Linked DNA regions of Cricetulus griseus. The protein of the gene in region 1 interacts with the protein of each later gene in a pairwise test. Links are inferred from orthologs where the notes say so. Each region holds a gene or a part of one and is shown in the gene's direction. Other genes may lie near its edges. The genes, in order: Nmi and Gcsh.

Evidence for each region.
Region 2: the proteins of Nmi (region 1) and Gcsh interact in binary tests that used the Homo sapiens proteins (3 or more experiments, as listed by UniProt). The two-hybrid records come from large-scale screens. The link is inferred for Cricetulus griseus from reciprocal best matches to the Homo sapiens genes NMI and GCSH.

The regions. Positions count from the first base shown.
Region 1 is NC_048599.1:122,378,448-122,385,394, forward strand, and holds part of Nmi (N-myc-interactor), read left to right. Parts: intron 1-1,675; 5' UTR 1,676-1,697; coding exon 1,698-1,766; intron 1,767-2,952; coding exon 2,953-3,048; intron 3,049-5,582; coding exon 5,583-5,745; intron 5,746-6,947. UniProt on the Homo sapiens protein: Acts as a signaling pathway regulator involved in innate immune system response.
Region 2 is NC_048596.1:193,602,483-193,609,929, reverse strand, and holds the start of Gcsh (glycine cleavage system H protein, mitochondrial), read left to right. Parts: upstream 1-2,965; 5' UTR 2,966-3,055; coding exon 3,056-3,194; intron 3,195-7,292; coding exon 7,293-7,372; intron 7,373-7,447. UniProt on the Homo sapiens protein: The glycine cleavage system catalyzes the degradation of glycine. The H protein (GCSH) shuttles the methylamine group of glycine from the P protein (GLDC) to the T protein (GCST).

The DNA.
Region 1 (6,947 bases):
TTCTCTGTTTGTAAACCCAAACCCAACTTCTGCCAGCACACACACACATCAAAATATCAGCTTTCTGTTTACATTGTGCTGGTTTTGAACTCTTGATCATCCTGTTACAGGCCTGTGCCACCATAACCAGATAGACTATTTTATTCGAAAGTGTCACCTGATTGTAAAATTGCAAAAGAAGCACTATTAGGAACTTTTTGGTTTTTGAGACAGGGTTTCTCTGAGGCTGTCCTGGAACTAGCTCTTGTAGACCAGGCTTAATTAGGAACTTTTAATTATTAAAATTTTATTCATCTTTTGACATGTTTCTGGTCTATACAACATGCATACATTATGTTTCTTTCTTTATGCTGCCAGGCCCAACATGGTGATGTAAATATAGTTAGGAAGAATAGTTTGTTTGTTTTTTTAAAATTTACTGCCATAATAAATTACATGACCTTGGTGGCTTATACACAGATGCACATACACACTTCAATTTAAAGATATTTATTTTTAGTGTCATTTTAAAATTGGATGTGCTTATGTGTGTCTGTATGTGCATGGACTGGGGTCCCTTTATGAGCCACTTGATTTGGGGCCTGGGAACTGAGCCTGGGTCTTCTGCTAGATGAACGGACTGTTAGGTACAGAGTACCGCCTCTCCATCCCCATACTTCTCAGCTGTAGGAGTCTGAAGGTTTCCCAGGGTACAGTAAAGGCGCTTGCTGAGAGCTGTCTTCCTTCTGTCCTGGAAGCTCTTGGGATGAATCCCTCTCCTTTGCTTGGCTCAGCATCCTTCTGTCATCTTCAAAGACAGTATCAGCATTACTTCTCTGATTATGTCTCTGCCTCATACTCAGTCTAACTTTTGTGTTGTTCCCTCTTTAACTCAGTCCTTCTGGATTAAGTTGAGTTTTCGTGAACAATGTAGGATGTTGTCCATATTTTATTCATTTATTATTATTATTTTTTTTGTGTGTGTGCATGTGTGTACATACTTGGGCATGTACCTGTGGAGCTTAGAGATGGAAGTCTGGTATCCTCTTCTACTTTGCTGAGTCAGGGTCTCTCACTGGACCTGCATCTTCCTGATTGGCCAGGTTGGGTGACATCATCACACCTTGTTTTCTATGTGGGAGGCCAGGATGGAAGGTACCAGTACTTACCCAGTAGGCACTTTCCCCCTGAGCCATCTCCCCAGCCTCTATGTCCATATTTTAAAGACAGACAATCAGCATCCTGAATTGGGTTTGCAGCCTCAAATCTCTACGATCTTGCTCTTGCTATTCACACTATGCTCTCGATTCTCTGTCTCCTGCTATTCTCTCCTCTCTCACAGATAGCCCTGGCTATGTCCAGTCTGCTGACCGTGTTCAGTCTACTTCCTCTCTCTGCTCTGGACTCTTCCAGATGCCTCTAGATGTTTTCTCTTGTTCATAATAAAGACCTTAACCATACCATGGAGCAGTCATGTTGGCAGGTCCTTTAATGAGCCTCGCTCCTGCTCCTATGCAATTAGGGAAGTGAAATTCTTCAAAATACAGACGATGTTTGGCTGTAAGTCACATGACAAGACTTAGATGATAGAAAAAAAAACAATACAAAGCAAAGAAGGCATGTTTCTTGCACAAAAGGGTAAAATCTGTATTTTCTTTTTTTTTCCTTGAATTTGTGTTGTATATGGTTGTAAAAGCACCCCCTTTTACTAGAAAATCATGGATGCTGATACTGACAACAAAAAGCACTCACCAGAGAAAGAAGTTATGAAAACTGAACAAAATGAGGTAAAATTATTAGTAGATGCTGTTAAGAATGATTTGTGCCTTTTTTTGTTTGTTTGTTTGAGATAGGGTTTCTCTGTGTAACAGTTCTGGCTATCATGGAACTTATTTTGTAGACCAGGCTGGCCTTGAATTCACTGAGATCTGACTTCCTCTGCCTCCCAAGTGCTGGGATTAAAGGCATGTGCCACCACTGCCCGGCTGTGCCTGTTCATTTTTAAGTAACATGCACTTTTTGTCTGTGCTAAATATTACCTTGGCATTGTAAGGCTTTGGGGCTTTTCTAAAGATCCTTACATTTGTTGTATTGTAAAACTTTATACTAAGAGTTGTGTTCCAATGTGTTTTCTTAAAAAATTAAGTGTTTTCTCACCTTCTTTTTTGGGTTTATAGCAGCAAGTGAAATGTGAGCAATTACCTAATGAGACCCAAGTGGGAACAGAGGCCCAGGTGCTCAGAGATGTTAGCAAGGCATATGTTTCGTTGTCAAAGCAGTTGACTACTCTTGGAATCATTGCTAATAAACAGAGAAAAAAAAAAACCACCAATAACCCCACCTAAAAATAAAACAAACAAATAGAAAACAACAACAACAACAACAAAACCAATAAAAAACTGCCTCAGTGTAATGTGTCCACAATTACAGTGCAATTGAAAGTCATATTATAGTTACAGATAGCTTAGAAAGGAGAATTTAACTAAGTCCAGGAGGTCTGAGTCTCTCACTCCTTGCCTTAATTGTAAAATATTCTGTATCTAATGTGGAAGACAACACTTTCTTTGATCATGTAATAGAGCTAAAGAATCTTGGTAGGATTAGGAGAACTGCCAGGGCCTGGAGAGATGACTCAGCAGTTAAGAGCACTGCCTGTTCTTTCAGAGGACCTGGGTTCAATTCCCAGCATCTACATAGTGGCTTACAACTGTCTGTAACTCCAGGAGATATTAGCCTTTTACGCAGACATATATTTGGGAAAACACCAATGCATATGAAATAAAAAAAAGTCATTAAAAAAAAGGCGAAGAGCCATCGGGCAATGAAGTAAGTGCACTCTGAAAGTAGGCATATTTATTCTGAGGCTGTCCTAAGGCTTCCTAGGTTTGGGGTGGGGGAATTTGCATCTTTAATTAATCTAGAAAAGGCATCTTGAAGGTGGTTAATTTTTTTCTATTATTTGGTGTTTTTTAGGGATTAATTCATGAAATTATGAGGGAAAACTTGCACCTGGAACAGGAGATCAAAAAGCTTGAAGCAGAGTTATGTTCGGACGCCAGAGAATTCCAAGTACTGTGATTATTTTATGTATATTTTAATGGACATGTACTTTTCAGAAAAATGATTTAGTTATACATGATTAACTCTAAAGCATTATAGTCACTTATAACACCAGTATTCATTTTTGTTTTTGAGAGCAGCTCTTGCTGGTCTTGAGCTCATTATGTAGGCCATACTGACCTCAAGTTCATAGAGATCTACCTGCCTCCATCTCCTGTGTACCGGCTTTAGAGGAGTGCACTGCCATGCCCAGCTTGGGCTACTGTTTGTAATAGCCCCAAATGGAGAAAAATCCAAGTGTTCTTCCATAGTCGAATGAATGATAAATTACTGTGTAGCTGTACAATTAAATTCTACACCAAAACAAGAACAATTATATACAACATGCATGAATGTAACAAATATGACATCGATACATAAAAATCAATGAAGGGCATTCTGTATGTTCCTATTTGAATAAAGCATGTTCTGAGTTATATAGTGGTTCACACGGGAGGCAGGCCTCCCTTGAGAAACCAGGACTTCAATGATAAGTGAGGTAAGTTTCAAGCTGTGTATCAACATTTGTTGATATTGATGATTTTAAACAGGTAACTACAACTACTCACTTTTTCCCTGGTAGGTTACAATTCTTGTTGATAGTGTTTTCTTCATTGTTGTATAAATTTAAATTATGAAAATGATTAAAAAGATGATAGGTAGGTCAAATGTGGTGACATCAGTAATTTCAGCACTGAAGAGGCTGGTGTAGGAGAATCTTGAGTTCAAGGACAGCCTGACTAAAAACAAAACAAAAATCAAACAAACAAAAAACCCACTAACGTTCTTGGGAGATTTGGGTGAAATTGGAATTTAATGCTGTCAGTTTTCATATCATGTAGCCTCAGTAGTCTTAGGGGAAAAAAAGAAGCTATCTGGTTTTGTCATAAAAAACAAACAAACAAACAAACAAACCAAAATCACTCGTGGTAGAGAGTTCTTGGTCCTAGATGGGACAGCTATATTACCGGATCCAGGCTCAAGCAACATTGGTGAACACAGGATGGGAAAAATGTAAGAGGATAGGCATATGAGCAGTAAACAGATGTCTTCTGGAAGATGCGATGGGATATAGCTGTCTGTATGAACTTGGACCTGCCAACATTTCACCATCTATGGGGGAAGGGCCCATGAGGCTTCATCCCTCCCTGAGAATATATTGACTGTTAATGGCCGCTGGGGGAGGGGAAGTCATTTTCCCTCCTGGTGTGGCCACTGAGAAGTTGTCTCCTCCATTAAGAAACCCCCCCCACCCGTGGATGGGGTGGGGGGTAGGTTGGAGGTGGGGGAGAAGGAATGGGGGTAAGGGGAGGGAAAGGGAGAGGGAGAGGGGAATTACATGTGAAACAAGCCTGTTCCCTAACTTGAATTAATAATAATAAAAAGAGAGAGAGAAAAAAAGCCAAAACAAAGCATTATGAAAAAAAAAACAAAACAAACAAACAAAACAAAACAAAAGAACCCCCCCACCCATGCTCAGGCAGGAAACTAATCAGACACCATGGGTCACACACAAGATGTGAAAGGAAGGATAGTTATGTTAAAGAAAAGATTTCGTCAGTAGAGGCAAGTGAAATGAGAGAGGGGGAATAAGGATGAAAATTACTAAAATTCATTGACTTATGCATGAAACTGTGAATGAATAAAAGAAAGCTCAGCATACACAGCTTGAAACTTACCTCACTTATCATGCATCCTTGCCATGAAACTAAACATAATTTCTAATAATTTCTTCCTGAGTTTGTGCATTACTGGCACAGTTACTTAAAAGGCACTGGAGACAGATTTTTCTTTGGGCTGCCAACACACACACACACACACACACACACACACACACACACACACACACACACAAAACCACGGAGACATTATTAATTATGAAAGGTTGGCTTATAGCTTAGGCTTGTCCTACTAGCTCTTATAACTTAAATTAACCATTTATATTAATCTACGTTTTGCCTCGTGGCTTTTACCTGTCTCCCATCTTGTACCTCCTGTTTCCTCTCTGTGTCCTCTGGCATCTCTCTCACACCTAGATTCATCCCCTTCTCTTCTTTCTCTGCCAGGAAGTCCTACTTAACCTCTTTTTGCCCAGCAATAGGTCATTCAGCTCTTTATTAAACCAATCAGAAGGCACCTTGGCAAAGACACATCTTTACAGCATACAAAAAGATTGTTCCACAACAAGGCACTGATTTACATAAATGGTGGGGATTTGGAATTGGATACCGAACAATATTGATCAGCTTAAACATGGGTTAGGGAAAGTGAGCTGATTTTATACTTATGATTTCATCTATAAAATGATATTAAAAGATCAGCAGTTGATTACCTTACTGAGAAACTGCCTGTGAAGAAGCAATTTCTATAGATGGTAAGCAAGAGTACAGTCAATGTACTTAAAGCTCTATAGTCAGTGGAGATCGAATAATTGGATGACTAGATTGGGAGGACTTAAGTTATTTCTTGTCTTGATTTTAATCAAACACATCTGTTTTAATTAGATTAAAGAGAATATACCAGAAAGAAATCTTAAATTCATCTCAGTGGAGAGTTCGGAGCATGATGACCGGTTCTCAAATAGTTGCTGTTCATTTCAAGTGAGCTCACAAATTTCTTATGAGATCCAGAAGGGACAAGCACTTATCACCTTTGAGAAGGAAGAAGGTATGATCTTAAAAACATGATTGTCACTTTTGCAAGCACCTGGACTTTCAAAGATCTTCTGGAGTTGTCTGGCTGCCACTTTACAATCTGTGTTTGCTGTTTCTTCTTGTCCTCATGGTGGTGTTCTGAGGCAGATGTGACTGATAGTCTCAATTTACAGAGAAGGAAACCAGGCATTAAGTATATTAGATATGTTAGGTCTATTGCCTACAATATATAGTGATGTAATATCTATAATGTATAATATTATATATACAATGATGTGGAGTACTGACAATGCTATGTGCGCGATGATATTAAAGGATCCATGTTTATCACACATTCAAAAAGTAATGGCTCAGGAAATGTAAGAGTTGCGATGTCCAATGTCAGCTTCTTTTTAGTACCTATGTCCCTTAAAATAAACATATTGTGACATTATAATAACATAAAGAAATAAAACTTCCAGAGCGAGTGCCAGGATAGGCTCCAAAGCTATGCAGAGAAACCCTGTCTTGAAAAACCAAAAAAAAAAGTAGAATTTGCTAGGTATGGTGGTGCACAGCTTTAATCATAGTGTTCAGGAAGCAGGAGCAGAACTATCTCCATGAGTTTAAGGCTACTGTGGTCTACATAGTTTCAGGCCAGCCAGAACTACATAGTGAGACCTTATCTCAAAAAAAAAAAAAAAAAAGAATGAATAAAGTGTTAGAAGTAAAAAAAGTAGCAGACTTTACTTCTCCGGGTGTTCTCTGGGACATCTAGTTTCATACTTACACAATTCTGTAATTTTGTGTATTTGATTGGTAAGGAAACAGATTCTGAGGATAGTTAAGTGATTTAGTAAATTAATTACTCTGTTATTGGATTGAGTCCAGGAATAGAAAGGTTTGGGATGGGACCAGATGTTGGCCAAGTCCAAAACTGTATGAGCCCTTCAGGGCTTGGCTCCTTTGTGAGGACGATTTGAGGGCCAGCTTTGTCTCCTCTGGAAGGCATGATCTGAGTTCTTTGTAAGCCTCAGATTTTTGTGACAGGCTTTGTGATAATTCCAACTTCATAAGCTGTTTGTGTATTAAATGACAGCTGTGCATTGAATGCACACAATCAACATACCTGTGTCAGCTGCTATGGTTGCTGTTTGTGTGAGGGGTTTCCCAGACAAGGAAACAGAAGCCTAGAGAAGAGTTTCCTTTGCTGAACTCCAGAGCTGACAGGGTCCC
Region 2 (7,447 bases), on another chromosome or scaffold:
TGTCTATGGTTTTGTTTTTGTTTTGTTTTCTTGAGACAGGATTTCTCTGTATAGCCCTGGATGTCCTGGAACTCTGTACAGCTGACCTTGAACTCAGAGATCAGCCTGCCTCTGCTTCCCCATAATGGGATCAAATATGTGTGCCAGCTCCTCTAGGGGGTCTGTCTTCACTGTTAAATAATTAAAAGGCAGGAAGAAAATCTCTACAGGTGGCATCTGAGAAATCTTGAACACAGGAAACAGGAGCAGACAGAAATCAGCAGTTGAAAGGCTTTTTTTTATCGGGGTGGGGGCACAGGCATTAGCAGATACACAGAGAAAAAGAGCCTCTGTAAAGGAGGGACTCGGGAAGCCCAGAGCTCTAGTCTCTTCTTGAGGGCTGTTTGCTGTTTGTTTTTGTCTCTGAAGAGTCTTCCTATAGGGTTGGTCATTTTGAAAAAGACAGGATGGCCCACAACTGTTGTATAAAAGCATCCTGATGTGGCCTTGAATTTATTGAGCCACCCCATGGGTGCAGGGACGAGGACAGGGTTGGGGGGATGGGGGATGGGTGAGTGAGTGGGGTGGTGCAAGGGGAGCATGGCATGCTGGTAGGAGAAAAGTCCACAAGGCCTTTGTTTTAAGTTGCCAGGCTTTTGTCTCAGGTCAGGAGGGTGAGGAAAAAAAGGGGCTTATCATGGAAGCTTACCACCTTTGTTACCTAGTCATGGCCCCTCTTCCTGTCTGCCCCACAAAGTGAAGGAACCAGCTTCCCTTTTGGCAGCCATAACAGCCGAACACGTGCTTGCCATAAACCTGCCTTGGTCACTTAGAGGTCAGATGCCTGTCTCGTGACAAGGAGCCAATCAGAAGTTAGCTGGTGGCGCTATGCTTTACGACCCTGGGTGTGCTTTACGGACAAGCGCACAGCAATGACGTAGAGAGCATAGCAACCACCCTGGGAGGGCCTATGGGCCATAACAACCAGTTGACCAATCAACACAGGGCAAGCCCTCCAAGCCTGGAGGCACACCAATCGTGAGCCTGTGCGTACCCCTAGACACTCCCCTTACGCTGCCTTATAAGATCTTTTGGGAGACCCTAGGAGCCGTCTTTGCTAGCCGTCCGCCATGGCGGGTGGGTGAAAGACCCGAGCTAACATGGGGTTAGCTCGTTAAATTACAATAAAGCCTCGTGCAGTTTGCATCAAGCTCTCGAATCCGCCTGGTGATTGGGGTGACCTCGAACATGACCTGGGACCCCGGATACTTGAGTTTTCGGGGGTCTAACAAAAGGAGTTTGTCTAACTCTTACCCCCACCCCACCAGCAGCCCAGGCTAAGGATCTAACACAGCTTCTAAGCATGTCTTGTCCCCCTCTTTCCTGATCCACTGTAGACACCCTGTGGATTCCCTACCCCAAACCCACCCCATGCTCTCCTCTTTGCTAAGGGAAAACTGACCCTTTTTCAGGGAGCCCTGTCCCCCTTCTCTTGCAGGACTTCTGCAGCCACCTCCAAGTAAATCCTGTTTTGTCTTGGTAATGACAATCCATTTCCCTTGATAGTAAAGAGTTTAGAGAAGCCAAGTTGTGCCCAGTAAGGAATGGGGGTCTCTGACTGGATTATCAACCCTGAGATGGACAACACCTACTTTCTTGCTGTATATTAAAAATCTTCTTATGGGGCTGAGACTAAGGGCTACAGCTGGGAAATTGAAAAATGCAGACCATCAAGGCACTGCTCGTTACTCCAGTTCTGATCAGCTCCAATACCACAGGTCTAATCAGGAGTTTGCCTGCCTCCCTCTTGAGTAGACCAGAGGCCCCATCTAAACAGCCTTCCTGCAGCCGCTCCTCTCTCCAGATGGCCAGATGGGAATTCCAGACCAGTGTTGTTTCCTAGGACATTGACACAGCTGCTAAGTTTATTGGTTGGTGCTGGGGCTGCCACAGTTGGTGTGGTTGGATCAGGGGCTGGCATTGGAACAGTGTTTGGTAGTTTGATTAGTGGCTTTGCCAGGAACCCGTCTCTCAAGCAACAGCTCTTCTATGCCATTCTGGGCTTTGCCCTGTCTGAGGCCATGGGGCTCTTTTGTTTGATGGTCACCTTCCTCATCCTCTTAGCCACATGAAGCTCCATGGGGCCAGCCAGCCATCCCTGCTGCTTCGACTCCATGCCTGTGCTGGTGCTGGAGTGTGCTAAGCCTTACCATTAAACAACGTTTCTCTAAAAAAACAAAACAACAAACAAACAAAAAATCTTACGGGGTTGGGAAATGAGACAGTGGTTAAGAGTACTCACTGCTCCTGCTAGTGCAGAGGACCCAGGTTCATTCCCATGGCTGCTAAGGAGCAATGAATGGGCTGAAAACTCCTGATTCTCCTGTCTCCATCTCCAGGGTGCTGTGATCAAAGGTAGTACAAGGCCCGCATAAATTGTGTTATTCTCTATTTCCCTTGGGTTTAAGAGTCTCTGGCCCTCTTGGCATCTGTAAAGTAATAAAGTGGCTTCCTGGGTTGTTTTCAGCATTTAAAAACTTATACGATCTGTGTCAGAATGACTTTGTCAGATGCCTACCACTGATCTTCAGATGAAATGAATCCCCTTGCGGGTGACCTTGTGCAGATGGGCGTGGCTGTGCTTTACTGGGCCTGGCGGGACCTCGTCTTCCCTAGGACTTTTTGACTTAATGGCATGAGACTGCGTTAGCCCAGCAAAGACATCCTTGCTGGGTTCTTTCTCTGGCCACTGAGGAATGCACAGATTGCCGACCCAGTGCTTGCTTTCACAAGATCCCACTCTAGGCGCGAGGCTCCGCCCTTCGGCGAGGCCCCGCCCCTCTCCGCCCAGCCATTCCGCGCCCCGCACACAGCCCCATCCGGGCCTCGGCTCCTCAACAAGCGCACACCCCCTCGCGCGCCTTGTCCTATCTGAAGTGGAACCTTCGAGCTGTCCAATCAGAGAGCATCTTGCCCGAGCTCCGCCCCGGGCCCCGGGCTCCGCTTACTCTGGCCCGCCCGGTTAGCGCCCGCCCGGTGGCGGAGGCGCAGTGCGGTTACTCCAGCAACTCTGATCATGTCGCTGCGAGTGGCTAGGAGCGCGTGGGCCGTGGCCTGCAGTCTGCGCACCGCCGTGGCCTCCTGCCCACCGGGGCCCTGGGTGCCGAGCGCCGCCGCCGTCCGCGCGCTGAGCACTGGATCGGCTGTCCAGTCGGGTAAGTGAGGGGCACGTGGTCCAGCCTCCCGGAGACGAGTGAGCTGTAGCTCTGTCCGCGCTTCTTCTTGCTCTTGGGATCCTGGTTCTGCGGCCCTTCTCCCTCCCTCGAGAGGACACGAGCAAACTTTGCCCCCGGGGTGGAGCTAGGAGGGAAGGCCCGTTGGACCTGCAGATAACCCGACCACTCTTGCAGGAGTGACTTACATGTGGGTGCACGGAGACCCCAAATGTGGAGTGCTTAACTAAATGAATCATAACAGGGAACTGTTAGGCAGAAGCACCTACTAAAATTTAGCACTGAGTGCACGCACAGATAAATGAAAGAAAAGTCAAAATGCAGAAATAAAAGCTTTTTACTACCCCCCCACCCCCCGCAAAGCCAAGCATGGCGTTGCTGTGAACTACAGAAAGCAAGGGAAAGTGTTCTAGACTTCAGAGAAGTTCTGATAACGTCTGTAATTGAGTCACTGATGTGTACTGGGGCTGAAAAGAGCCTAATTTGACGGACTGGAAATAACTGGGAGACATGCCCATTATACGCCTTCGCATAGTTAGCTGGGAAACAGTTTTCTTTCTTTATGTGCAAATAGTGGAGACCCTAGCTGCCCTTTGTACGATCCCTATTCAGACAGCACAAATCTGAACGACTGCTCTCAGCAAGTCTTTTGGGTCAGAAATCTGTGCGAATTCAAAATGTTGATCACGTTATTCCTCAGTGTGGAGTGCAAAGTTTGCTTCTTTCTTGCTAAAATTTTTCTATTGTTTGTGACACAGCAACACAGAGGTGTGTTGCTGACTAGAATACAAGGGAAGAGCACTGCTCAGATAACTCCATTTCAGACCAGGTATGGTGAGTGGCTCCCACCTGTAACGATGTCAGCACTCCTGAGGTGGAGGATCACTGAGTTCCAGACCAGCTTGAGCTACATTGAGTTCCAGGTTGTTAGTTAAATATTGCCCAAAATATCAATTCCCATGGTCTGCCTAACTACTCGGGTTTTCATTTTTACCCTCTTGTAACTGGCAGAATTGTGCACACTTATTTTGCAGGGTGCAGGCCCTTCACTTGGAAAAGCTCACAATCCTGGTTCTTCCTCTCACAACTGTGTGGTCTTGGGCCCAGTCTCTCAACTTCTCAGAACCCCAGTGTCCTGCATTAGAACAGTGGAGGAAGTAGCTACCTCAGAGTTACTGGGAGGAAGAAATGAATGAAGGTCCTGTCACTGAATAGTGTTATTAAATATTACTGTGTATTTCATAACCAAATGTACACATAACACTGAGCCATATTAGATAAAATAGATTTGTGTTTGAGAATTGGAAGGGTTTCCCTCATTTACAGCTCAGTTTTTCTGAGGCCTCAAACCATGGTGGGTTTTATTTCTGCTCCCTGAGGCATGATCTCAGTTTAGTTGGAAGACTCCTGTGTAGCCCAAGAATGACCTTGAACTTCTGATCCTCCTGACATTGCTGGGACTAAAGACAAGCACCACCACACTCAGTTTATGCAGTGCTAGGGCCTGATCCCAGAGCTACCTCAGTAATAGGCAAGTACCCTACCAACTAAGCCACTTTCCCAGTCCTCAAACCATGTTTTTCAAGGCTTAGCAAGAAAGTAATTATTTACCTAATCTGCTTTTTTTTGAGTCAGGTCAAGGGTTAATGGAGAACTGGAATCACACTGTGGTTAGCCTAGGTAGCTTGACTGGTCTAAAGGATGATAATGGACTTTGAGGTCAAGTGGACCTAGGTATGCTGAGCTGAGAATGCTGCTGGCTCAACCGACAGCTGCAAAGTAGAGGCCAAAGTGTAGACAGTCAACATTAGCAGGGTGATACATATTTGTAACTGTCCGCCCCTTATAGTCAGACACTATGGTTTTGAGCTGCTCGTGATTGGTAATGTAATCAGTGAACTCTAGACTTTTAAGAGAATGAAAGTTGAGTACTGCAGACACATAGCTATACATCATCTTTGACCCAAATTTCTTTTCCTTTAGTTTTTAGTAGTATTGGGAACTGAAGCAAAGGCTTTGACAAGCACTCTTCCACTGAGCTCCAGGCCCCAGTTATCTTCTTTAAACAACGGGAGCCATTTTCTTCTAGGACAGGCTTAAATGAAAGAAGAATTTTAAGAACTTGGCCAAGTTACAATTGTAGGAAGTCCATCTCAGTCCTTAGAACTAAATTGCAGTATCCTGAGCCAACTCTACCTTAAGAGCCACATTGCCTTTTTTAGGTTACATCGTTTGGTTTTTATATCTTTTTAGTTTTTTGAGACAGGGTTTCTCTGTAGCTTTAGAATCTGTCCTGGAACTTACTCTGTAGACCAGGCTGGCCTCAAACTCACAGAGATCCCCCTGTATCTGCCTCCTGAGTGCTGGGATTAAAGGCATGCGCCACCACTGCCTGGCTGGTTTTTATATCTTAAGGATTTATGTTATAGGTGTTGTGCCTGAGTGTATGTCTGTGCACATTGGTGCCTGATACCCTTGGAGGTCAGAAGAGGACCATGAGATTTACTGAAACTGTAGTTGTAGGTAGTTGTGAGCCACCATGTAAGTGCTGGAAACTGAACCCAGGTCCTCTGCAAGAAGAGCACATGCAGGGCTGGAGAGATGGCTCATCAGTTAAGAGCACTGGCTGCTCTTCCAGAGGACCTGGGTTCAATTCCCAGCACCCACATGGCAGCTCACAACTGTCTGTAGCTCCAGTTCAAGGAGTTCTAACATCTTCACACAGATAAAGCATGCAGGAAAACACCAATGCATATAAAATAAAAATAAATTAAAAAAAAAAAAGAGGAACACATGCTTCTAACTGCTGAGCCATCTTTCCAGCCTCAAATTTTTTTTTTCTTTTGAGACAGTGTCTTGTGTTGCCCAAGCTCCCTTAAACTCTCATACTCAACAGATCTCCTGCTTTGGCCTTCTGAATATTTCAGTTATAGGTCACTGTGCCCTGTGTAAATCTATCCCCCTCCCCCATTAGTGGAATGAACCAGAGCCCCCATGGTAGACAAGTCAACATCTACTGAGCTACATCCCCAGTCCTTCAAAAGTTGTTTTCTGTTTGATATCATCTTAATGTTACTTTATTCTTTTTATATGTACAGGTATTTTGCCTGCAGTTATATCTGTGTATCATGTACATGCAGTGCCTGTAGAGGCCACAAGAAGTCAGTTCCTTTGAGACTGGAGTTAAGGATGGTTATGAGCCATTGTGTGAATGCTGGGTGTTGAACCAAGTTCCTTTGGATGAGTAGCCAGTGCTCTTAACTGCTGAGTCATCTCTTCAGGCAATCTTAATAGTCTTGAACTCATGATCCTCCTGCTGCAACCTCCTAAGGGCTGAGTTACAGGCATATGCCATTGTGTGCAGTTAAACTTTGCAGATTGGCCTTGAATTTGCAATCTTCCCAGCTCAGCCCAGGTATTTAGATGAGTCAGCTGTATACTTCTTGGTATGCATCACTTTCTTTGTGCTGCCTCCCCAAATCCATTACCCCAAACCTGTCTTCAAAAGAATAAAGTTCTTTGTTCAAGGCAGACCTTGAACATTCTATAGTTATAGAATGAATTCAGGAAATATGCTCTGAAATTTTGAGTGATTTAGACTGATGTTAAAACAGATAAGCCCAGGGATGTACAAGGTGTTCCATTTAAGATACATGTTCTTGGGGCTGAGAGATGGTTCTGTGGTTAAGAGCACTGGTTGCTGTTCCAGAGGTCCTGGCTTTGGGTCCCAGTACCACCATCTTTAACTCCAATTTCAGGAGATCTGACATCACTTCTAGCCTCCATGAAGCCTGCATACATGTAGTGCATATATACACATGCAGACAAAACCCTCACATACATAAAACCAATTTTTTTACAACATTTATCTCAGTGCATCTGTGGCTACACAAAAATGTGTTTTAAAACTGCCCCATCTTTACACATTGTTGTTCTTTACTGGACATACTACTGCAAAGTAATTATCAGTAAGTCAATCTCAGTCCTGGGGAAGTCTTACCTTTTGACAGAAATGGTGTTTGAAGGGCTGTTGAAGAAGTGACACTGCTGCTTTTCTGAAATACTGGTCTTCTGTTTTAGTGCGTAAATTCACAGAGAAACATGAATGGATAACCACAGAGAATGGTATTGGAACAGTGGGAATCAGCAATTTTGCACAGGTATTGGATTGTCTTGAAGTGTTTATAACAGTCTGCTCTCAAGTAGTTTGGATTATCTCTACCTTATGAAGTGGT